7 linked regions of the Mus musculus genome follow. The protein of the gene in region 7 binds, or shares a complex with, the protein of the main gene of each other region. Links are inferred from orthologs where the notes say so. Each region holds a gene or a part of one and is shown on either strand. Other genes may lie near its edges.

Evidence for each region.
Region 1: Strn4 (region 7) and Strip2 share a complex: the UniProt entries of both Homo sapiens proteins name them as parts of the core of STRIPAK complex. The link is inferred for Mus musculus from reciprocal best matches to the Homo sapiens genes STRN4 and STRIP2.
Region 2: Strn4 (region 7) and Strip1 share a complex: the UniProt entries of both Homo sapiens proteins name them as parts of the core of STRIPAK complex. The link is inferred for Mus musculus from reciprocal best matches to the Homo sapiens genes STRN4 and STRIP1.
Region 3: Strn4 (region 7) and Ppp2ca share a complex: the UniProt entries of both Homo sapiens proteins name them as parts of the core of STRIPAK complex. The link is inferred for Mus musculus from reciprocal best matches to the Homo sapiens genes STRN4 and PPP2CA.
Region 4: Strn4 (region 7) and Stk24 share a complex: the UniProt entries of both Homo sapiens proteins name them as parts of the core of STRIPAK complex. The link is inferred for Mus musculus from reciprocal best matches to the Homo sapiens genes STRN4 and STK24.
Region 5: Strn4 (region 7) and Stk25 share a complex: the UniProt entries of both Homo sapiens proteins name them as parts of the core of STRIPAK complex. The link is inferred for Mus musculus from reciprocal best matches to the Homo sapiens genes STRN4 and STK25.
Region 6: Strn4 (region 7) and Stk26 share a complex: the UniProt entries of both Homo sapiens proteins name them as parts of the core of STRIPAK complex. The link is inferred for Mus musculus from reciprocal best matches to the Homo sapiens genes STRN4 and STK26.

Annotation. Positions count from the first base shown.
Region 1 is NC_000072.6:29,937,513-29,941,012, reverse strand, and holds part of Strip2 (striatin-interacting proteins 2), read right to left. Parts: intron 3,433-3,500; coding exon 3,358-3,432; intron 2,552-3,357; coding exon 2,454-2,551; intron 1,977-2,453; coding exon 1,850-1,976; intron 1-1,849. UniProt on the Homo sapiens protein: Plays a role in the regulation of cell morphology and cytoskeletal organization. Required in the control of cell shape. Calmodulin-binding scaffolding protein which is the center of the striatin-interacting phosphatase and kinase (STRIPAK) complexes.
Region 2 is NC_000069.6:107,612,032-107,614,710, reverse strand, and holds the end of Strip1 (striatin-interacting protein 1), read left to right. Parts: coding exon 1-116; intron 117-1,244; coding exon 1,245-1,492; 3' UTR 1,493-2,179; downstream 2,180-2,679. UniProt on the Homo sapiens protein: Plays a role in the regulation of cell morphology and cytoskeletal organization. Required in the cortical actin filament dynamics and cell shape. Part of the striatin-interacting phosphatase and kinase (STRIPAK) complexes.
Region 3 is NC_000077.6:52,119,324-52,122,823, forward strand, and holds the end of Ppp2ca (serine/threonine-protein phosphatase 2A catalytic subunit alpha isoform), read left to right. Parts: intron 1-1,609; coding exon 1,610-1,728; intron 1,729-2,578; coding exon 2,579-2,651; 3' UTR 2,652-3,426; downstream 3,427-3,500. UniProt on the Homo sapiens protein: Catalytic subunit of protein phosphatase 2A (PP2A), a serine/threonine phosphatase involved in the regulation of a wide variety of enzymes, signal transduction pathways, and cellular events.
Region 4 is NC_000080.6:121,299,231-121,302,730, reverse strand, and holds part of Stk24 (serine/threonine-protein kinase 24), read left to right. Parts: intron 1-387; coding exon 388-545; intron 546-3,500. UniProt on the Homo sapiens protein: Serine/threonine-protein kinase that acts on both serine and threonine residues and promotes apoptosis in response to stress stimuli and caspase activation.
Region 5 is NC_000067.6:93,625,728-93,629,227, reverse strand, and holds part of Stk25 (serine/threonine-protein kinase 25), read left to right. Parts: coding exon 1-194; intron 195-1,517; coding exon 1,518-1,574; intron 1,575-2,094; coding exon 2,095-2,203; intron 2,204-3,019; coding exon 3,020-3,177; intron 3,178-3,261; coding exon 3,262-3,447; intron 3,448-3,500. UniProt on the Homo sapiens protein: Oxidant stress-activated serine/threonine kinase that may play a role in the response to environmental stress.
Region 6 is NC_000086.7:50,840,058-50,844,170, forward strand, and holds the start of Stk26 (serine/threonine-protein kinase 26), read left to right. Parts: upstream 1-1,313; 5' UTR 1,314-1,489; intron 1,490-1,621; 5' UTR 1,622-1,736; coding exon 1,737-1,778; intron 1,779-4,113. UniProt on the Homo sapiens protein: Serine/threonine-protein kinase that acts as a mediator of cell growth. Modulates apoptosis. In association with STK24 negatively regulates Golgi reorientation in polarized cell migration upon RHO activation.
Region 7 is NC_000073.6:16,832,889-16,836,388, reverse strand, and holds part of Strn4 (striatin-4), read right to left. Parts: intron 3,464-3,500; coding exon 3,288-3,463; intron 3,212-3,287; coding exon 3,164-3,211; intron 2,515-3,163; coding exon 2,393-2,514; intron 1-2,392. UniProt on the Homo sapiens protein: Calmodulin-binding scaffolding protein which is the center of the striatin-interacting phosphatase and kinase (STRIPAK) complexes.

The sequences.
Region 1 (3,500 bases), on a different chromosome or scaffold from region 7:
GGGTCCATGTCCAGGGAGACCTACTGGGGTAAGTGGCAATAAGAACAAAGGTATAGAGTTAGTCACCCTGGATTTTGTTTATGATGTACGGAGGAACACCAGAAACAAAGGATGCCTCCAAATCTGAGCCTAAGCATGCTGGGACAGTACAGAAACAAGGTAGAAAAGGCAGAGAACTATGGTGTTTTAAAACTGTATCTCTGTGTCATCTGCAAGAAGTAGCCATGGCAGAAGGGTAAGCTGCTTTCTGTTCCCGAGTATGTGGTTAGAGGTGGGAGTCAGCTTATGTCATAACTGCTTCTCTCTCCTAATTGGCATTTCCTCCCTGGAAGCCACCCAAAAGTATTTTCCAAGTTCTAGATAAAGGAGCTAGTACATACGTACTACTGAAAGTGGGAAGTTTTAAAACTCTGAGCTCTGTTCAGGCTTTGTCTGGACTTCCCCACGCTGACACACACTGTGGCCCGGCCATTCAGGACATCTCTCAGTCTGGCTATAGATCTATCTACTGCCCTTCAAGAGAAACACTGGGAAACACATCCTAGTGGATGCTGCTCAGCAAACACAGGATAAAGCCACAGTCTCAGCCCGTGCCGGCCTTCCCTGAACACGACTCTTTCTTTTATCAGGCTTTATTTTGAGTGCTTAGTTGGAAAATGGTGTAAGGCCTCAGGGCAGAAATGAGAAGGGTTCCATATTCCCAGGCTCTCTAAAGGAGAAGCTTCCATTCACTTGTCTGCATCTTGTCCTTGTACCTTGGTAATGCCTACAGCCCAAGGCAAACAATGCCTTTGTGGGAAAGCAAAGCAAAGTCTTGACTTTAACCCTAATCTCCCCACTTGAGATAAACCAGAGTGCAGTCTCAGAAGGCAGAGGTAGGAGGATCTCTGTGACTTTGAGGCCATCCTAGTCTACATAATGAGTTCCAGGACAGCTACACAGTGAGACTCTGTCTCAAAACCAAACCAAACCAGCAATAACAACTAAAGAAAAAAATTACCCAAAAATGCCACCAGTCCCCACCCCCCCCCCAAAAAAAACCAGGGATAAAATAAGGATTCCTAGAGGTGAGAAGCTCACAAAAGCTCTGTTGGATGTCAAGCACAATATAGGTATTTCATAATCATGTGTTATCAGATATACGATCCCTGATGATCCCTGTGGCTTCACATATCAGCCGATCATCTCTATCACCCCACTCAGAGGCAGAACTCCAGCAACATTTAATTAGTTTCCAAAAGCTCTCTGCTGTTTCACCTCTGAGCTTTCACATATTGGACTTTCTGCTTGAGCTGGGTTTTCTCTTTCCTGATAAGTCTCATTTCCTGGCTAACATCTGTTTCTCTGAGACTTAGGTTAAAAGTCAACTCTTCTCTACCTCAGGTTGGATTAGGTATTTCAACAGTGCCTATCTGTATCACACCACTCTACAAGTGGGCGTTTATGGATCTGTTACAAGACTGTGTGGCTTGTAAGAGTCTGATCTGTGTCTCATTTAGAATTAGATCTGATTCAGAATAGTGCTTCACTTACAGACAAGTATGGCCAATGTGCCCAGGGACCTTTCTTGAATGGCTGAACTGATTCTAACTAGCTAGGAGTATTCTTAAGAATCCCTAGCCAGACCTGGAGCTAACTTACAAAGAATATAGACTTTTGTATCTTTCTAGGATGGCTCCCCACATCCCACTCCATATCCCACCATACACTCATGCCACAAGTAGCTGGACTCTCTCATTCAGGACAAACAAAGGCCAAGTAAAATACACAGCAGTACAAGACTTCCTGTGTGGCCCCTATGGCATGAGGAATACTTGGAGCTTGAAATGTAGCGTCCCTAACTGCTCACCTGGTAGATATGGTTGAGTTTGAAGTGTTTGAGAAGTAGAAGGAGCAGGGCAGAGATACTCTTTACAATGATTTCCTTGTGTCTGTTCACGTCAATGCCTAGCTTCATGCTCTGGAGAACAGTTACACTACAAGGGGAAGATGAAGCATTAGTACAAAGGTAGGGATGGATGGAGGCCTAGGGATGAAAGACCCAAGTAGTTGGGCTACACACACACACACACACACACACACACACACACACACACACACACACACACGTCTATATCTATAGTCAGAATATATATATAGTCAGAATTTAGGAAACCTGAACTTCTCTGCTAGGGAAATCTCTGAAGTTCCCATTTAGGAATCTATCCAGGAGAAAGCTTTCATGATCTTTTTGTTCATGTGTCCAGTCTCTGGCAAACTTATCCACTGGTGCTGTCTACTCATGTATCTGGCGGCTACTCATATATCAGCACTGAGGTTTTCTGTTGGACCCTAGTTCTGAGTTCCATAGAGCTCAGTAGGTAGAAGGCCATGCAGAAAAGGAAAGACTTCTCTTCAGACAACTCCTGTTACCACAGTGCGGAGGGACAGAGGCCTGAAGACGAGACACTCACGGCATCTCTTCAGGCAGGACATCTGCCAGGATATTGATAGAGTCTGTCTTAGCCTTGGAGGTGGGAGCTGCAGCCAGCAGAATCTTAAGCAGTGCAATCTAGGAGAGAGAAAAAGAGGAAAGCCATCCTTGTCTATCCCACTTTGCGAAATAGTGGTTCTTCCAAACTTCTCTAGCCCGAATGAAAAGTATTTCTTTATATTTTAATTTTTATTTTTTTATGTTTATTTTTGTATGTATATGAGTACATTGTAGCTGTCTTCAGACACACCAGAAGAGGGCATCTGATCACTTTACAGATGGTTGTGAGCCACCATGTGGTTGCTGGCAACTGAACTCAGGACCTCTGGAAGAACAATCTGTTCCTCATTGCTGAGCCATCTCTCCAGCCCATGAAAAGTATTTCAAAGCCTTTATCTAAGATCTTCCTTTAGTGACTAAGCTTTGCCAGAATATAGTAATGCAAACAGGTATTTATCTTGAGGCCTGTCTGTGAGGCCAAGGGAGAAGGCCAAAGCAAACTTCTAAGCTGTTTTGTTCAGGGTTGCTCCCAAAGTGAACACAGAAAGAACAAACTGGGAGAGGCAAAGCAAGAACTACGTGGGAGATATAAGCCCAACATTCCCCCTTCTTGTTCTTCCTCTGACCCCATCAACATCTTCACCATTCCTATCCAGAGGCTACCAAAGACACGGCAGACAATGGCAGAACTCATGATAGTGGCAATTAGCTAGTAGAAATGGCTCTGACACATCATCTATAGGTAGATCTTACTTTATTATGCACCCCAGGCTCCAGGAGAAAGGCTAGGGAGAATGGCACCTGCAGAGCAGCCACAAGGAAAGTTCAGAATTCCAAGTTCCTCTTGGTAGGAAAGGGTAGCTCTGGACTAGCCAGCTCCTTACCATGTACTGGGGGAGGCTGTACAGCATGCCCTGGTAGAGGATTTCACTCGGTGTTTCTGGTACCACCTCTTCTCCCTAGGGAAGAAAACACAGTTGACCAGGCTACTGTTCAGGTTACTAAAGGTGACATCTTGGTTGCTGAG
Region 2 (2,679 bases), on a different chromosome or scaffold from region 7:
CAAGGTGCAGACCAAGTATTTGGGGCGACAGTGGCGCAAGAGCAACATGAAGACGATGTCTGCCATCTACCAGAAGGTGCGGCACCGGCTGAACGATGACTGGGCGTACGGCAATGGTGAGGCCACATATGACGCCGCAAGAGTGGGAGAGGGTAGGACAAGGGATGACTTGACTCCTTGCCTGTGGTACCTTAGTTTTCTCTGCCCTTAGGCACTGAGCAGGGCCGGGATCTAGTTTTAGTGGCTCTGGGCAAGACTTTGGGAAGCTACTCAGTATCTGTGTTCATCTGTTTCTCTGTCCCTCCACTCTAAATCCTGTCTTTTCCAGAAATTGCCATAAGATTCCATCCCCTCTTTATCCCTACTGCAGCTACCTAAATCTATAGATCCTCACCGGCTCTGCCTCTAGTTTCTCCCCACTGTTGGCCTCAGATTTGGCTCCTGTAATCTTTTCAACACACCCATCCTATGCTGTTGCCCCTGAGTAAGATTCCTGTTAGCTTTCTAGTTCCCATAGGAATGAAGTTAAACATTAAGACAGGAGGGGCAATCATTCACTTGCCTGATCCCAGAGTTTGCAGCTTTCTTTTCAAGCCCGTTGTGTGCTGGTACCCAGCTTCTGTCACACCCAAGACTCCAGGACAGAGTATGAAACCTCAGTACCAGCTGAGGATTGCTCTCAGGAGCTCTGCAGATCCCAGCAGCCACAGATGCCCATGCTCTCCAGTGTGCCCTCTGTGCCTGAGAATAGACTGTACAGGTACAGAGGGAAACTACACTTGGTCCCTGAGCGCTAGCCATGTTGCCTCCTGTTCCTGGGCCTCTGTAGACTGTTGGATATCTACATCCTCCCAGTCTAACTGTTGTTTACCTGGTGTTGCTGTGTTACACTGTCGCAGTCACATCACTCTGTGACTATGCCTGGCATCTGGGCTCAAGGTGGTGCATGACATTTTGTCATGGAGGTGAGAGGAGGAGCAGATGATGGAGTCTCGGAGTTATCTCTGTCATCTAGAACCAAGGGGAGACTGTGCTTTAAAAACGAGTTTTCCAGGACTCTCCTGTCTGTCGACATGTTTTGGGGGAACAAGTCTCTTTCTCAGAGTTAAGGATTTTCTCCTTATATTTGACTATCCTCTCCTGAGGATGGGCTTTGGAGATGATCTTCTGGTTAAAATCACGCTCCTACTCAAGGGGAGCTGCTATAGGGCTGACTCCTAACCGAGTTTTCTGCTTTGCCCCAGATCTTGATGCCCGGCCATGGGACTTCCAGGCAGAGGAGTGTGCTCTCCGTGCCAACATTGAACGCTTCAATGCCCGGCGCTATGACCGGACCCACAGCAACCCTGACTTCTTGCCAGTGGACAATTGCCTGCAGAGCGTATTGGGCCAGCGGGTAGATCTTCCTGAGGACTTCCAGATGAACTATGACCTATGGCTAGAGAGGGAGGTCTTCTCTAAGCCCATTTCCTGGGAAGAGCTGCTGCAGTGAAGAGGGCTGGAAAAGACCATGATCTGTCTGTCTCATACCTGAGGGACTGTCCTCACCATTGCTGCAGTGCTCCTGTTCCCCTCCAGGTGGCAGCACAGCTCCATTGAGTCCTCCACAGCCTGCCCTGGGCCTGTGAGTGAACCCAGGTTAGCCTCTGGTTGATTCCCAGCATCCTACTCAGGAGCTGTCATCTCCAAGCTGGGATCTACTCTCCCTCCACTTGCCCAGCTTCTACCCTCCTCTCTTGGATATGATCGATTGAAACTCATTTCACAGTTAGCCCTAGGCTGGGGAAAGCTGAGCCGGGCCTGGCATCCCTTCTCGACAGCAGCTGTATCGTGAGGTCCCACAGACTCCTGGGCAGCTTTGGCAATGTCAGCTGGTCAGGAAGGAGGGTCCGCTTGAGGGCCAAGAACAGAGTCAGCACCTTGGCTGTGCTCTGGGACTATCTCGTGCCATCCCAGCATCCTGCTGAGTTCTGTCCAGAAGTGATGGACACACAGCCTCTGCACCCTGGTTTTGGATGTGGTCAAAGGTGGAGTGAGGCTTCCTGAAGCCAGAGGTGCCGGTTTCCTCTCGGTTGCCATGACCTGTAAATATACAAAACTCTGTGTGATCTCTGGTGTCATGGTGGGGTTTTTATTGTGTTTGTGTATTCTGTTTACATTAAAAGAAAGCAAAACTGTCCGTGTTGCCTTGTGTGTAGATGCAGGCTCTGGGGACTGGGGATGCAGCACAGGCACTAGAGTGCCTACCTGGTAGGAAAGAAGCCTTGGGTAGTGGTACACACACGTGTACTCTCAGCACTTGAGAGGTGGAAGCAGGCGAATCAGAAGTTCTAGGTCAGTCTTGACTACATAGTTCAAGTTCAGCCTAGGCTATGTGAGATTCTCTCTGAGAAATATGGCCTGAAAATGATCAGTTCTCTCAAGAATCCCTTTCCCCAGCATGACAGGCTACCCGGCTAAGCTCTGGCCTGCCTGCCTTCCTGCCTTTTCTACCTGTTGTAGAGGGAAGGAGGGGTTAGTACTTTGGTCGTCGGCCCACATCAGTCTGGGCACATTGCTTTAGGGTTCTGGGTTTGCTGAGGATCAGGGTCCTGACTGCTAGGCTTGCTGTAGTTTCAGTAGAGACGTCAAGTTTCTCGGGATGACGCGCCGCAGCTGTCCTCAGCCAAGCCAGTTAGT
Region 3 (3,500 bases), on a different chromosome or scaffold from region 7:
CCTGTCAAATTAACTGTAGTAACTGAAGGAAAGGAGTTTGACACTGATGCTGTCAGCAAGATGTCCTTTATTCCTAGAGTCTGCCATGGGAGCTAAACCCTCTTCAGTAGATGGACAGTCAGAGGAAAGTCAGATCCATGGCTGATAGTGGGCATCCACTTAATGACTCGGAGGGACTTGGGATTAATGATGAAAGGATGAAGATGCAGAGCGAATGAGGAAGGGTATAATATATCGCAGTGGTTTATTTCACATTATCTAGTTTGTTTCTTTATAGGAAAAGAAAGAAACATCAAAATGTTGATGCCCTTTAGATAACTGGCTTGTAGATGATTTGAAAGAAGCCTTTCCTCTGGTAGGGGTCTTACCTTAAAACATTGACTGCCATACTTTGAGAATGAGATGAGAACATGGAGCATTCAAACTATGGCAGTGGGCAATCTCTTATTCTATAAGAGTTTGTTGTCAGTACTGATGGTCAGCCAAGTATAGTGGTGCATGCCTCATTAGTTCATTAGTTAGCTAGTTTGCTGGTTGGTTAGTTATTTAGGTGGCAGCTAAACTGCCTTGTAATCCAGACTAGCCTAGACTGTACAGTGAGACCCAAAAAATAGTTCATTTTAAAATCAAGTTTAAGGTTTGTCTTAGGGCTTTATTGCTATGAACAGACATCATGACCAAGGCAACTCTTATAAGGACAACATTTAATTGAGGCTGGATTACAGATTCAGAGGTTCAGTCTGTTATCATCAAGGCAGGAACATGGCAACATCCAGGCAGGCATGGGGCAGGAGGAGCTCAGAGTTCTACATCTTCATCTGAAGGCTGCTAGCAGAATACTGGCTTCCAGGAAGCTAGGATGAGATCTTATAGTTCACACCTACTCCAAGAGGGCCACACATAATAGTGCCACTTCCTGGCCCAAGCATACACAAACCATCACAAGGTCATGTCAATGAAAGACAGTATCTACATTTGGTGATGGGTAATATTTAAGTTGATTTGGTTGGTTGGTTTGTTGGTTTTTGCGGGATATGTTCGCCATGTAGATTAGGCTGTTCTCCATGCAGATTAGGCTCCATGTAGATTCACCTGCCTCTGCCTCCTGGGATTGAAAATGTGTACCACCATGCCTGGCTTGTTTTTCAATGCTTAAGACAAAACAAAAACAGGGCTGGAGAGATGGCTCAGCAGTTAAGATCACTGACTGCTCTTCCAGAGGTCCTGAGTTCAATTCCCAGCAACCACATGGTGGCTCACAACCATCTGTAATGGGATCTGATGCCCTCTGCTGGTGTGTCTGAAGATTGCAACAGTGTACTTACATAAAACAAGTAAATAAATCTTTTTCTAAAAAAGTATTTTTTTGGCAACACAGAGAAACCCTGTCTCAAAAAACCCCCAAAAACAAACAAACAAAAGTATTTTGTTTGTTTGTTTTAGCAACACATTGTTAAATGTACATTTTATAGGTTATGAGAAATACAGAAAATTAACCCCTTTGGAGTTTTTCTATCTTAATGTATTTTTCTGTTTTAATGGGTTCATATTTATGTAGGTTAGTAAGGTTTGTTTGGTTTTTTTTTTTTTTCCTGCCTCTTTTTTACAGGGATATAACTGGTGCCATGACCGGAACGTAGTAACAATTTTCAGTGCTCCAAACTATTGCTATCGTTGTGGTAACCAAGCTGCAATCATGGAACTTGACGACACTCTTAAGTATTCTTTGTAAGTATCTACTCTGAGCTAGCTTTGTGTTGTCCAGCCCTGCTTAAACCAAAGCATAGGTTGTTGACTTTTGACTAAATTTTTGTGGGAATGAACCTACACATAATAGAAACTAGCACTAGTGTCTCTTATTTGGTATGAATAACTTGTATGAGTTACTAGGTCTTCAACCTATAGTCCTAATTTATAGTCCACCATTGAGGGGAAGCTGAGGCAGGAACTAGAAGCAGCTCCTCAAATAACATCTACAGCCTAGATGTAATGTTACCTTCCACCAGAGGCAGGAGGAACTCTGTGAGTGAGGCCAGCTTGGTCTATATACAGAGTTTCAGGGGCTATATCAAGAAGCCATGACTCAAACAAAACAAAGCAGAGAGAAGTGTGTGGGCCCTTGCTTGTTGCTTATGCTCAATTAGCTTTCTTCATTCTTAAACAGATGAAGGCTCTCTGCCTAGGGAATGGTAACAGCCACGGTGGGCGTGGTGTTCTTACATCAATTAAGATGGTCTTCCACAGACATGCTCACAGGTCAACCTGATTTATATAAGTCTAGTCCTCAGTTAGAACTGTTCCCAGGTAATGGTTCTCTTGTGTCTGGTTAACAGCTAAAACTAACCATGTGTTTGTAGCCCAAGCTGGTCTAGAACTGTGATTTTCTTGCCTCAGTTTCCCAAGTGGTAATGTTAGAGCTGTGCCCCAATATACCTAGGTCTATTAAAGTTGGGTTCTATTCTTTTAAAATGTACTGAAGTTGGATGGGGAAGAAAATTTGAAAATTTGGAAGATGTTAGTTTTGTTAACTACATGGTATCTTCTGGAGTAGTAACACTGAGTCTTCCTTGTTTTTCAGCTTGCAGTTTGACCCAGCACCTCGTAGAGGCGAGCCACATGTCACTCGTCGTACCCCAGACTACTTCCTGTAATGAAAATGTAAACTTGTACAGTATTGCCATGAACCGTATATTGACCTAATGGAAATGGGAAGAGCAACAGTAACTCCAAAGTGTCAGAAAATAGTTAACATTCAAAAACTTGTTTTCACACGGACCAAAAGATGTGCCATATAAAATACAAAGCCTCTTGTCATCAACAGCCGTGACCACTTTAGAATGAACCAGTTCATTGCATGCTGACGCGACATTGTTGGTCAAGAATCCAGTTTCTGGCATAGCGCTATTTGTAGTTACTTTTGCTTTCTTGAGAGACTGCAGATATAGGATTAAACATTAACACCCGTGAGTCCAGTTGACTTCACTTAGCTGTAGCTTACTCAGCATGACTGTAGATGAGGATAGCAAACAATCATTGGAGCTTAATGAACATTTTTAAATAAGTACCAAGGCCTCCCCTCTTGTTGTGTTTCTTTCAGGGATACCATTAATTTAATTGTATGATTTGTCTGCACTCAGTTTCTCCCCTTCTCAAATCTCAGCCCCGCGTTGTTCTTTGTTACTGTCAGAAAACCTGGTGAGTTGTTTTGAACAGAACTGTTTCCCTCCTGTAAGATGATGTTACTGCACAAGTCACCGCAGTGTTTTCATAATAAACTTGAGAACTGAGAAAGTCAGGTTTGAATTGTATCAGTGGGCACGACTGGTGCTGTTTATTAACAAGATAAATCTATTGATCAATTTCAGAATTTGTAGAATCCCAGGTAAAGAAAAATAAAGATCAAGGCCACTGTGTAACCTCTCTGGCAACTCCTTGGTGTTCTTCAGAAGAACTTGGGGACCTGTTTGTCTGACATACCGCAGTTTGTCTTGTTGCTGGCC
Region 4 (3,500 bases), on a different chromosome or scaffold from region 7:
TTTGTTTATATTTTTTGTTGTTTGGAGACAGGGTTTCTCTGTGTAACTCTGGCCATCCTGGAACTCATTCTGTAGACCAGGCTGGCCTCAGACTTAGATCCGCCTGCCTCTGCCTCCCAAGTGCTGCAGTTAAAGCCGTGTGCCACCACTGCTGGGTGGTGAGGGCAGCGCTTGTTTTCATTTCTTTGAAACACGTGAAGTGGCAGAGCCCACTGTACTCCTGCCCACTCTTGCCTATCTGGGGTCAGGCTGGGCTGTTTTCAAACCCCAGGGCAGCTTGCTCTTAGGGGTCCTCATGCCCTGTGAGGAGAGCAAGCTTCAGCCTCCAGGGCGACCTTGGGAGTAGCAGTGCAGTGCGTAAGGCCTCCCGCCTTTCTTGTCTTTCAGCGGCCAATGTTCTGCTCTCTGAACATGGAGAGGTGAAGCTGGCAGACTTTGGAGTGGCCGGCCAGCTGACGGATACCCAGATCAAAAGGAACACCTTCGTGGGTACCCCCTTCTGGATGGCGCCGGAGGTCATCAAGCAGTCAGCCTACGACTCAAAGGTGAGAGTGCTGCCCCCAGATGCTTGGTCCTTCTGATCATGCACATTCTGCCTGTGCCTGAGGTGGGTGATGGTGATTCTGCGACCTCGGTTAATGTCAGCTTCCTTCTCTATCTCCTGCTACACCGTTGGATCCCTGTTCCTCTGGCCTTAGTGGCTGTCTTTACCTTAGCTCATGTTTGATATGCTGGGGACCAGGAAGGAGCAGGTGTGAGGATGAACACAGCTTAGGCCTTCTGAGACATGCAGACCCCAGATGGTTTAGGCTGTGGGGGGTCTGGACAGTTAGTAGAGAGGGCTGGCCATGTCTGCACATGAAGGCTGTTGAACCCTTTGGCACAGTGGATGAGGGGCAGGGCCTGGACAGAGCTCTGCCTGCTCTAGGTAGGACATCTAGAGAAAGGAGTCCTCAGAAAATCCCACAGCAGAGTGGGCAGGTGTGGTTCCTCAGTGATTACAACTGCTTGTTTTGTTTTATTTCAGGATCTGTATTCTCAGAGGCTCCCATCAACAGGAGTCTGTCTCCCTCTCCCTCTCCCTACCCCCCCCCCCCCCCCCACACACACACACACCCGTCTGGCTGCGGCTCCTTGTCGGCTCTGTTCCTAATGCTTTCACTCTTTGCTTTTGTCCTTTAGTTTTCTGTAATCTTGTAGTATAGACTAGAAATGACCCAACCGTCTGCTCAGGTCAGAGACCTATGCACAATAAACATGATCATCGGAGAGAATTGACTTTCCTGAGCACCAAACTTTCAAAGCAGAAACTATTTAACTCAGAAACGTTCACAGGCCGAACACGGGTTTTCTTTGCTTCTTTCCGTTTACTTGTTTATTTGTTCTTTCATTCATTTATTTAGTATGATTGCTGACGCCCTGGAAAGCCTGAGGCTTCAGATTCCCAGAGATGGAGGTAGGCAGTTGTGAGCTCCCTGACATGAGTGCTGGGAACCAGACTCGGATTCTCGCCAGAGCAGTGTGTGCTCTTAAATGCTGAGCTATCTCTCCAGCCCCTTAAAACAAAACAAGCCCTAAATTAGTTTTGGGTCTGTAGCTGAAGTCGGATAGTCTGAACACACTGGTGATCTCCTGCCTCAGCCTTTGTGTGTTAGCAGGCCTGACTTGTGTCTCTGTCTTGTCTTTCCTTTCTTTCTTGGACCCTCCTGTGTGTAGCAGATTCCTGGCGTCATTAAATGGTGTGTGAAGCATAGGGTAACTCCCTTTTGGAACCTTGGGTGCTATTGTAAGGTATATGCCATGTGGCATGTCTCTGTGAGTGAGGATATAGGTATCCCACGTTCTGGCTGGCTCCGTGAACTTAAAGAGAAACTGGTGGTGTGGTAGATCCTGTAGGAGTTCTGGCCCTGTCATCCAGCACACAGCAGGAGTACTTCAGGTTAGTCAGGTCTTTCTCTGCATTTGTTTCTTGTTGTTTCCATATCTTCTGGAAGATGGATCACCTCCATGGCTACTTCTTGTCTAAAGCCCGGTCTTCTCTTGGCCTTTTTCCTGAGTTCTGTCAGGTAGGAAGGTGGGTGTATTGTCTACCATTTGCTGTTTGTATTCGTGTCTGGATTTTGGTAGGAGAGAGACCAGGATCCAGGTAGTAAATTAGCTTGTCAGCCATGGCCCTTACGGCTTGGGGCTCAGGCCACCCAATTCTGTTGTACCCTGGGCCACTCACTTTCTTGTTTCCCAGAGAGCTTTCCTGATCTCCCTGCCATACCAGATACCTCTCTGAAGTGGGTCCTTGGTGTAGTTCAGCTTTCGTTGTTTTGGACAGGGACTGTACCCCCCTTACCTGACTCGTCTGAACCCTCAGGTGCCACATTTCCTAACAAGCAGGTATGTGTACTGGGGCTTGGTATCTGTGCTGTTTGGAGAGGCATCCTGTCTTCCTAGTCTCCATTTGTTGGGGTACGTGGTGTTTAAACACGATTGGGTGTTTCCATGGCTTCTGATCACATGCCAAATGGCTTGGTGTCCTGGATGTGCCAGCTCTGTGTCCAGGCTTGAAGGTGGGCATCAGAGGCAGACAGAAGACTGCCCAGGTCCCTGCACAAGTCCTGGGGAATGGCAGCTCAGCCAAGATAGAACTAGAGGGGTGTGGGAACGCTAGGCACCTAAGAGTTCACTGCCACACACTTCTCACCTGTGTGGGTTCAAATACTTCATGGTTTGGTTTAGATGGACTCCACTAGAGAGCCCAGTCTGGTCTTGAACTTTCAGTTCCTCTTGCCAACCAACCTTCAGAGCTGGGGTTACAGTGGCCTGCCACTATTCCTGGTTGTATTCAGGATGTTCCAAAGAGGAATCTCAGGTTGCTTTGCAGCCCAGGGCTGTCACTCAGTGTACCGGGGACAGAGTAAGCAGAGACAGTTCCTTGCAGGATTGCTGTGCAGTCAGAGCGCAGCTAACCTCAGGCAGAGACCATGACTGTCCGGCCTTGTAACCTGTAAGGCTGAGCAGGGTGTGTGAAGTCTGGAGATCTGGATGGAGAGCCATTGCCAGGGGCCCCATTGATGCATGGTGGGACATGGCTGTGCCTCAGAGCATGGGAGTAGGTGCCGTAGTTACGAGGACTACAGTGGGAGCACGTGAGTCAGGCCTGCCTCAGTCCTCCTCTTCCTGCTGTGTGGCTTTCTCCCTTTTTCTAGCCACCTTCATGGTGATGACTGAGGTGATGTGGCAGGGATTTCTGGTGCTCACAAGGTTTCAGGAGAATAGCAAGCAAGGGTACTCCAGGTAAAGGCTGGAGATTGTTCTGGTCCCCTGGTCCCCTTCATCGGCCTCTCCTGCCACCTGTGCCGTAAGTGTTGGACTTGTGACAAGTTCATGGTGCAATGACAAGAGCAGGTGCCGTTCTCCACCCCATCCCCATGCCTTCTTTGCCAACCCGTTTTGTCGTGTTTCACACGTGTTGAGCTCCTGACAGCCCTGCTTGTTGTAAAGTTGGC
Region 5 (3,500 bases), on a different chromosome or scaffold from region 7:
TTGACCGCATTGGCAAAGGCTCATTTGGGGAGGTGTACAAGGGGATCGACAACCACACCAAGGAAGTGGTGGCCATCAAGATCATTGACTTGGAAGAGGCCGAGGATGAAATTGAGGACATCCAACAGGAGATCACTGTGCTCAGCCAATGTGACAGTCCTTATATCACCCGCTACTTCGGCTCCTACCTGAAGGTGCCTACAAGAAGGAGGGATCTGTAGTGGTTGGGGATGGAGCATTCTGAAGGTTCTGTGCCAGGCTTTCTCTTTTGTTTCCAGAGGGATTAATATGTGTCCAAGGATAGGAGAGAGAAGAGAAGGTGACAGCTGTGGGCACATGGGAATCCCTCTGGAAGGGCAGAGAGGCCCACCCTTCCAAATATCTCAGCTTCACAAAAACAGCCTATTCTCTTGAGAAGTGCCAGTCCTCAGTAGGCTCTAAAATGTCTGTCAGTACTGTTAGGCACAGTCTAAGGGGCCCCTGAAGGCAGTCAGTACTTTTAGGGACTGCCTGGAGGGCACTTGAGCAGAGTGTAGAGAGTACAGAGAAGACTCATCTACTGCTTTGAGCAATTGGCCTGTCCACCAGGTGCCTGTAGCAGAGGTATGGTAGCTGGGTGGTCAGAGAGGCCTTTTCTCCATTCCTCCCCCTGGACAGAGTCTGTGTAGACCAGGGTGGCCTTGAACTCACAAGAGATATGCCTGCCTCTATCTCCCAAGTATAGGAATAAGGTGTATGCCACCGCTTCTTGCATTCCTTTTTTGTTTTGTTTTTGGTGGTTTGTTACTGTTTTTTGAGACAGGGTCTCACTGTGTAATTCTGTTTTTGTTTGTTTGTTTGTTTTTGTTTTTCTAGACAGGGTTTCTCTGTGTAGCCCTTGCTGTCCTGGAACTCAATCTGTAGACCAGGCTGGCCTCAGAAATCCACCTGCCTCTGCCTCTGCCTCCCAAGTGCTGGGATTAAAGGTGTGTGCCACCACTGCCCAGCTCACTGTGTAATTCTGTTTGTCCATTTACTATATGGACCAGGCTGGCCTTAAACTCACAGATACCCACCTGCCTCTTCCACCATGCCTGGCTTGGTCCTCCTTTTAATTTGTTAATACTAATTTTTTTGTTATTATTTTTACCTGTCTGTGCTGGGTGGGGGTATGTCTACAATTAGTCTGTGCGTGTGTCTGCGGAGGCCAGAAAGGGTATTGGGTTCTTCTGGTATGGGGGCTACAGGCCTTTGTGAGCTACCTGATATGGGTGTTGGGAGTTGAACACAAGTCTCATGTCCCCCAATTTGGCCTTGAACTTCTGATCCTTCCAAGTGTTGGGATATAAGCATTCACTACCTTGCCCGGCTAGAACCCTATCTTACTTGGCAGGAACTTGCCTGGTATAGTTGCTGTATGGGCTAAGCCCCTAGCTGACTACTTTTGGAGGAGTTAGAGGGGGTGGCTTGTGGAGTCCCCGCTTGGATATTCCTGCTGCATTTCCTGCCCAGGCACTGACAGGTTTCTCTGCTCCCAGAGCACCAAGCTGTGGATTATCATGGAGTACCTGGGTGGTGGCTCTGCACTGGACTTGGTAAGTTCAGACTCGAGCAGTGAGCGGCTTGCTCTTGAGGCTTGTCTTTCAGTGGCCCAGGAACCACTGCCCTGCACACTTTTAGGCTTGTGGCCTTTCTCAGGCTACCTATCACAGTTCTGTATGTTAACAGGAATTGTTAGTTTCAAAACAAATCACTGTTCATCTTGCTCTAGTTGATGCTAAAAGAAGTCTTGGGCCTCTACTGGGCTAGGGGAATAGGCACAGTTAGAGCCCCCAGACAAATAAGAGTGTCAGGTCCTTGGTTAACCTATTCCCATCTTTATAGTCACAGAAAAGATTAAAGCAACTCTTAAGTTTTCTGAAAACAGCTGTCACCCCCATTTCTCCTTACTTCCCCCATTATCCTTGACATCTGAAACTATAGGAACTAAGGAACATAAAGGCCCCCAGGCTTCTTTTGCAGGACTCAGAAGTTGGTGGGTGGTGCTGTTCAGGTGCTGTGGAGGTATGGGTGTGGTAGCTGCAATTGAAGTTCTTCCTGTCTGTGCTCCTGCAGCTGAAACCTGGTCCCCTGGAAGAGACCTATATTGCCACCATCTTGCGGGAGATCCTGAAAGGCCTGGATTATCTGCACTCAGAGCGCAAGATCCACCGAGATATCAAAGGTCCTGCGGGGTGGGCTTGGATGCAGTTCTGCCCATGACCTAGAAAGAGATGGGCATGTGGAGCCTAGTAGATTGTGGTGCCTGAGGGCATGGGATGTGGGGAACGCTTCTGCCACCTGGAAACTGGGGAATTGGGGGGGGGGGGTTGTCCATTTTACTTTTTATCCCCATTTTTAATGGCCACACTGAGGGTAGAGCCTAGGGGATTATGCATTCTAAGCAAACATTCTGCAACTGAGCTACTTTGCCAGCCTAGAAAAAACCTTAATCTCACATCTCCTAATCTTTGATTTCATATATGTGAAGGAAACCAGTTGTGTACTAGTACAAAGCAGGAGCAGTGTGTGGATTCAGATGTGGATTTGTGCAACACTTCTGTGTGGTCCAGTCCTGATGAGGACTCACAAAGTTGGGCCAGCCCACCATGAATGACTTAGTGAGGATAGCTGAGCCTTATGTCACAGGGTGGAATCCTATAGGCAGAGTGATAGATGCCCTGACGAGCCATTCCAGCTGTACAATTCAGTTAGGGTCACTATGATTATATGTGAGGTGTCACTATTGTTGGTGCTTGTCAGAAAACACAAACATGCCAGGCCCTGGAACAAAGGTAGGAATGTTCCTGTAGGTCCCCCAGATTGCCTGCCCTTGCCAGCAGTGGCCAATGTCCAGGAAAACTAAGTTCCCAAGACATATCTGCTGCTGTCCCTAGGGGCCAGAGGATACCATCCCATCACTAGTCAGGGAGTTGCATGCAGGGTTATTTTGGGGGGCTGTGGAGCCAAGGATGATGCCCACCTATCCTGTATTGAGCAGCTGCCAACGTGCTGCTCTCGGAGCAGGGTGATGTGAAGCTGGCAGACTTCGGTGTGGCTGGGCAGCTCACAGACACACAAATCAAGAGGAACACATTTGTGGGTACACCCTTCTGGATGGCACCTGAGGTTATCAAGCAGTCGGCCTATGACTTCAAGGTGAGTTCTGGATGGGAGGTGAGAGTATACTGCCACCACTCAAAATGTTTCACGTAGCAACTGTCCTGTGTGATAACTCTCTAGGCTGACATCTGGTCCCTGGGCATCACAGCCATTGAGCTGGCCAAGGGGGAGCCGCCAAACTCTGATCTCCACCCTATGCGAGTCCTGTTCCTGATTCCCAAGAACAACCCACCCACATTGGAGGGCCACCACAGCAAACCCTTCAAGGAGTTTGTAGAGGCCTGCCTCAATAAGGACCCACGATTCGTAAGGCCTATATCCACTTGGGCCACCCCAGGCAGCTGAGGGGTTTGGGGAAG
Region 6 (4,113 bases), on a different chromosome or scaffold from region 7:
ATCAGGGCCTACCATTGGGTAGAATAGAGAGAACGCCAAGGCTTGGAGCACTAAGAGTAAGGTAAAATCAATACCATATTTAATATACTTCTACCATATTAATAGAAGGTAGTATGTGGCAGGGGGGCCCAGATTGGACTTCTCAGATGTATTGCTTTTTAATTGCAATATTTGAGTCAAATATTTACTTGGCTGAGCCTTTTGATCTATTTGCTCAGTGGGGAGAAGGCAGTGTGACTCAAGTGAGCGCTTGTCACAATAACTCTTTACAATATACAGAGGGTAAATTTCGGGATCTCTGGGGCAATGAAAACGAAATCTACTACTACTACTAATGTTGATAATAACCAGATACTGTTCTTGGAGAAAAAAATTATTTAAAAAAGAATAGCATTTGTTGAGTGTGCATTGGTTGCACGGGCATCTGGCAAACTTCAAGGTGAGTTCTCATTTTACACATTTACTTGGATCTTATTTTGTCCTGTAACCTTTAGTAGCCCGGGTGTTCACATAGGTGCTTCCCTGAGACTCCTGTGACTGCTATTATTATCACTGTCATTATTGTGTTATTGGGTCCTCCAGAAAGGGTCTGCCTCACTCCTGGAGTTGAACTTAAATTAGAAGAAGGCAGAGAGTTGCAGAAGTCACTGTGCTGCATGCTAAATTCAAATATCTATACTCGGAAAGATGTAATCTCATGCTCCTTGCCTCTGTTATCGTTGTTAAGTTTTCTGCCAATACATGATCCGTTTTCCAATTTGCCTCTCTTTTACACGCGCAGAAATTGTGAGCAATTTCAGCCAGGCCGTTCCTCAACTAATAGCCTAAGGTAAGGACAGACTCAGGTTAAAGTGACTTGAGGCATATCTAAGGGCAAGGAAGCTGAAAATTGCAAGAGGGAAGGAACTTAGGCGTGAAGGAGCAGGTGTCTGGCTCGGTGGCCCCACCCTTGGCCAGGTGGGGGAGCCAAGCAAAACTTTTGCAACTCCAGACCTCTGGGAGGCTACAAGCACCCCAGCCTCGCAAGCCTGTCTGCAACGTGGCCGCATTCATCCGGGTTGCCCTCATCTCCCCTACCCCACTCCCGCAAACTCTTCTGTTCTTTCTCCAGGCTCGGTTATGTTCCAAGTTTTTCGATCCCGATCCCGCCTTTCTGCTGCTCTCCGCAACCCCTGAGAGCCCCGAGCGTCTCCAACTCTGGCTATGTTAGCCAACCCCCTTTGCAGCCTGAAGCCTCAGCTCCCCTGACACCGCCCGGCAGCGGGGTGGAGGCAGGGCCAACCGGGGAACCGCCCCCAGCCGCCTCCCAGCCTAAGCGTTCGGGCGGGTTGCTGGGGTGCCTCCACCTCCTCTTCCTAAAGCGGCGAGGCGCAGCAAAGCGGCATCACTGGAGCCCAGGTCCCAGGCACCGCCACAGGTCAAGCCCTGCATTCAGGAAAGAGAGCAACACTGCAGTTAGCCAAAAGCCAGGCAGGCGAGCGGCAGAGAGGTAGGTAAACTGAGTCCGGGAGAGCAGCGGCGCGAACCGCTCACCTCCCCGCAGGGGGGGGGGGGGCGGAATGGGGGGAGTGGAGGCTGCAAGCCACCAGCCCACTAACTCCACTTCTCTGCGTCCTTCCAGGCCTCGATCGAGAAGCCTGGTAGAGCTGCAGAGATACCTCCGTAGGAGGAGCCAGTCTCTGCCGGAGGCGCCACCGCCACCACCGCAGAAGCAGCGCGAAGTAGCAGTCGCCACCATGGCCCACTCACCGGTGGCTGTTCAAGTGCCTGGGATGCAGGTGAGGAAGCCCAGGCCTCCCGTGCCGCCCACGTGACTGCTCCGAAGCCCCGCTTTGGGCACCAGGCACCAGGGACCAGGGCAGCCACGGGGCAAACCTGAAGGCAGGGCCGGATCTCTCACCAGGTGACCCCGAAGTAAAGCTCGAGGTGTTTCCTGGCGTCCGGGCTAGAAGGTGTTTTGCACTGGAGAGATTGAGGCGACTGGGGAGAGACTCAGTTGGTGTTGGTGTGTGTGTGTGTGGGGGGGGGGGGAGTACACGTATAAAAATAGGCCAGAACCTTAGGCACCTGTACTTGTTGGCTTGTTAATCGTGGCACAGTTGAGGATTCAGCGTGGGGGAGTCCCAGAACTTAACCTCGATGAGATAGAGGCGTCCTGGAATGTGTGGGCTAAAACACCCAAGAGGTGCCCCCACACGGTACACACACAGAGGTTGGGGCGGAGCGAGACCAGGAGTGGTGGAGGCATTGAATTTGGTTCTTCCTGTGTGCAAAGACAGAAGAGCAAGATGCCTTCTTTTCCCCTTTGGTGCCACTTAGAAGCAAACTTCTATCACGCTCCCCTACCTAGCTCAGTGGGTAGTGTTCCAAGGACTGCAGGATCCTGTTCTGAGGGCCTAGGTAATGACTCCACATACCTTTCTCCTTGTCTGTCTGCTAAGGTGGTTGGTACACGTACTTAAGCTTTTGTCCAGCGCAAAGGGGGAAAAAAGTGTGGGACCCAACATTTTACTCAAAATCCATACAGTTCTCCTCCCATTATACTATCGTTTCGTTAAAGAAAATTATGTCAACAAATGTTTTACACATCTTGTTGTTTTTTTAACCACTCTTAACTTTTTAAAGCATTTACATTTGGGGTATCCCCCATGGCAACCTAAATAACCCTTTATGAGTTATAAGTCAGAGGCTAAAAACACTGAGACTGGGTTCCTTATGATCTTCTAACTATGCTAAGTCAAACAAACAAATTATTTCAAGTTCTGAAATGTGGAGACCACTGCATAGCTTACGCTTCTACTAGGAGTCCAAACTTTGTGAATTGGAGTCTCTGTCTACTGCCGCATGTGCTGACTGGTCTCATTGTATTTATGATAAAAATAAAAAGGTGCTTTTAAAAATATCCTTTCTCCTCAAAGGGGTCATTTGTACAGGACATACATGTCTCCTGTATTTAAGGGCAGGTCTGGGTTGAGACTCAGGAAGGGGAGGGAAAGAAATGTAAAATAGAAAGAGTGGGGCTTTTTGTGGTATTAATCCATTTCAGTTTTTCCCAGTGCCCCAAACTTTTTTTTCCTCATGCATTCTCCATCTCTGGCTCTCTTTTCCCTAACTGCTCTGCCCCACACGCCATTCATTGAAGTCTGACTTTGCTTGTATCTGGACAAGTAGTAGTTTGCAATAGGAACTGGTTTTGCTCTGCCTGGTTTGGAACGACACGTGAACTTTCCCCCTTCGTGCACAGCTTTCTATTATGTGGAGACATAGAACTTTACATATGGCTACTGCTCAGAGGCTCCATGCTTCTCTCTCCATTGTGAGCAGGCGCCTGCCTGCATGCGGCCACACTGGTGCCTCCCCTTCATCAACTTTGTGTGATTCTGGGCTACTCAGTGTGATCACCAGAAAAGGGTTCCTGGTCTTTATTTCATTTGGCTTGACTTTATTTGATTTATGTGGTTTCTGGTCTTTATTTAATTTGTTCTGACTTTATTGGATAGAGATGGTTTGCTAAGTGCTCACCGTTGAGCATTGTCACATTGCTCCTTGCTTTGTTTAATTATGGGAGCTAGCTATCTCTTGGATTTTTAGATCTTAATTAAGGTGGGTTGAAATGGGAATCACATATTTGAAATGATCAACTTTGCCTTGCATGGTGTGCCTTCCCCAAGTTATTAATTTGTCAGTCCTTAGCTGTACAGGATAGTCATCTCACATTCAGCAAGCAAAGATTATTGATTCTTGCTCCGCCACTTTCCATCTAAGTGAAGTAGCACGTTATCCAATTATTTTCATTTTTATTTCTAGATGTAGTTCTTAAGCACTTGCTGCAACATTTAAAGAAGACAGCTTTTCCATCTTTGAAATTATACAGGGACCTAAAACACATTCACAGCATGCAGCATGACCCTTTAGCCTAGAATAGTTTTGTTGTATTTCCCAAAAACTATAATGTAGAAATATATTCTGGGATCATAATGGTCTCCTATAGTTTTGTTAGAGTTAGAAGCAAGCAACTTTTAGGTTGTTTAAGTAGCAAGAAATCTTGAATTTGCCATGTGTTCTTTAAATTAATGTGCAATATTTCCCCAAATCAGGGTGGAGTGATTGACT
Region 7 (3,500 bases):
GGTGTACATTACTACATGCAGCCTATAAGACATTTTTTAAAAATGTACTTACCCTCTCTTAAAAAGAAAAAGAACTTTAAAAAGTTTTAAAAAAATACTTAAAAGAATTTTTTCTTAAACTATATTGTGAGCACACTCTTTCTCTCCCCAGCTCTCCCCAGATTTTCCCACCTCCTTACTGCCCAAGCAACTTCATGTTCCTTCTCTCTAAAAGACTAAAACTAAAGCAGAAGATTTTAAAAAAAGAAAAAGAAAAGGAAAAATAAAGGAAGGAAGGAAGGAAGGAAGGAAGGAAGGAAGGAAGGAAGAAAGAAAGAAAGGAAGAAAGAAAGAAAGAAAGAGCCAAAAATGAAAGAAACATAAAATTTCCCCCAACAACATGGAGTGTGTTCTGAGTTGTCAGCCACCCCTAGGCATGAAGCCTGCCCTGGAGTGTCACTGATAGACCTAGTGACTCTGGCTCAGAGGCAGCTCATTTCCCTTCCTCACAGAAGTCAATTGTAAATAGCTTCTTGGTGAGGGATAGGACGTGGTGTTCATTTCTCCTAGTAAAAGACTTTTGTCTGTTTGTTTGGTTTTTCAAGACCAGGTTTCTCTGTCCTAGAACATACTTTGTAGACCAGGCTGCTGGCCTCAATTAAAAGTGTGTGCTACCATTGCCAGGTAAAAGGCTTCTTAAAAACAGACTTAAAAACTAGTTTTAAGACCTTGTTTCAAAATAGAATAAACAAAAACACGGGAGTTAATATAAAATGAGGTCCTCAGGAAGGTGAGAAACATCCAAGAACATGGGTGAGGGTGTTCCCAAGACAGTGTTACCCACTAATTAACTCTTTTTTTAATAACAATAAAAAATATTTATTTATTTATTATATGTAAGTACACTGTAGCTGTCTTCAGACACTCCAGAAGAGGGCATCAGATCCCATTACGGATGGTTGTGAGCCACCATGTGGGATTTGAACTCAGGACCTTCGAGAGCAGTCAGTGCTCTTACTCCCTGAGCCATCTCTCCAGCCTCCTCCTATTTAACTCTTATTCCTCCATCTACCTGCCCACTTACCTGCTCATCTGTCCATCCCTCCCGCCTGCCCTGCCCCGTGTCTGGTCTGCACAGAGACAAGGTTGCTCTGTGTAGTCCTGACCACTCTGGTACTCTGTAGACCAGGTTGGCCTCAAACTCAGAGATCCTTCTGCCTCTACCTTTCAAGTGTTGGGATTAAAGGTGTGCACCATTGCGCCTGCTGGCTGCTGCCCAGCACGTGTGTGTGTGTGTGTGTGTGTGTGTGTTCACGCACGCAAGTATGTGAGAACCCAAGTGGTGGCAAGATGACAACTCATGTTGGTGTTGGTTCCCTCCTTCTAATGTGGGTTCTAGGGACTGGACTCTGACCATCAGGGGTGCCTTTACCTGCTAAGCCATCTTGCTGGTCCTATGTAGTGTGTTATTTTGAGACAAGACTTTTCTATGTCGAGCAGGCTGACCTGGACCTTAAATTAAAATCCCCCTGCCTCAAACTCCTGAGCACTAAGATTATCACTTCCTCTTTAACTTTTTCTTGGAGTGGAGAAGACTTTTCCTCCCAATAGGGATTCACTATGTCCGGGCAGTAGCTTGATTGTTATGTGGCACAGCAGGCCTGAAACCCAATACATAATCAAGCTGGTCTTGAACTTGTGATTGCGGTTATCCCTCCTGCCATTACTGCTCCATTGTAAGATGAAACAGCAATTTTTTTTTTTTTGAGACACTATGTAGCTCTAACTGGCCTAGAACTTAGTATGTAGACAAGGCTAGCCTTGAACTCAGAGCATTGTTTGCTTCTGCCTCCTGAGTGCGATTAAAGATTTATGTCTTGTTTTTTGTTTTTGTTTGTCTGGTTTGTTTGTTTTTGAGATATGATTTCATGGCCTCAAACTCCCTATGTAACCAACAATGAACTTAGCATTCTGATCCACCCAGCTCCTGTGGTACTGGGATGGGACCCAGAGCTTCACTCCACCTACTTACTGATCCCCATCTCCAGCTCCTCCACTTAACTCTTAAAGGGCTAAAGGACAAGGCCTCAACTCCCTGCCATTTATGGTCCCCCCAATGCTTCTCAGCTCACCTCCTCTGTTTCTAACAAACCCCTGACCCACAATAAGACCTTAGCTGATCCCCAACATAGTCCACCAAGTTGACCAAGCCCATTCTGGCCCTGACCCAGGCTAGCCTCTGCTTCCCCAAAAGCCAGCTCACACTGTCCCTCAAATGCAGCCCAACTCTCCCCTCACCATTACGCCTCATCTCCCTCCGCCCACTCTCTTAACCTTAAGTCAGACCAGGAAGCTTACAGTGCTACTTCCCAGAGCTGTGACAGGAGGAGGGAGTGGCAGGGTCTGTCCTCACCATAGCCATCATATGGGTCCATGTTGAGGTCAGGAATCTTCCAGCTGTGGATCCTGGCATCAGCCCCACCACTGTAACAGTACTCGCTGTTGCTGCCCATGGTGACTGCCAGCACCGGGCCCCTGCAGGGTGCAAGGGAGAGGCGATGCAAGGCAGCTAAGGCTCAAGCCTTCCTTGCTCACGGGAGCTTGAGGATTTCTCCTAGCTTTTAGTTTTGTTTTGTTTTTGTTTTTTCAAGACAGGGTTTCTCTGTGTAGCCCTGGCTGTCCTGGAACTCACTCTGTAGACTAGGCTGGCCTTGAACTCACAGAGATCTGCCTGCCTCTGCCTCCCAAGTATTGGGATCCAAAGTACATGCCACCATGCCTGGCTCTTCTAGCTATTTTTAAATATCATTTAAATGTATTTATTGTCATATATCACAATGCGCATGTGGAGGTCAGAAGACAACTTCTGGAGTTGGTTCTCTCCTCCTAGCACCTGAGTCCTGGGGATCAAACTTATGTTGTCAAGCTTAGTAGAAGGCACCTTTAGCCACCTAGCCCTCCCATCAGTCAGTGTCCTTTCCTAGGTATATCTTAAGGATGCCATGAGGAATTTGGCATCTTTGCTCTAGGGGCCTCAGTGAAACCACAATGGGAACCAACATGGCCCCTGAGTAAGGGGTATGCCCAAGCCTCCACTGCTCCAGGTCTCCAGGGCAGCAAGAAGCAGCAGCCCATCTATGCTGCTGGGTCGCAGGGCTTACAACAGGCTCAGCCATCTCCCTACCTGTGAGCTCGGAAAGCATGAATCGGCTCCACATCCAGTGCAGCATTTCTGTGGGAAAAAGAGGAATCCCATCACTAGGACCCCAGGTCCTAAGGCCCCGCACCCTCCAGGGTGGCACCCTTACTTCTTGGCCGTAACTGCCTTCTGCAGGTTCCACAGTTTGAGTGTGCCATCCTCAGAGGCAGTAAGCAGTGCTGACTGGCTGTGGTGGAAGGCCAGGGAGCGGATGCCATCGTAGTGTGAGCGGAGGGTAAACTTGGGGTTCCATGTCTTCTTGAAAGCGTCTTTGCTGTCAGACAGCTGGGGATGGGGAGCTGCCTCAGTGTCCTCTTGGATT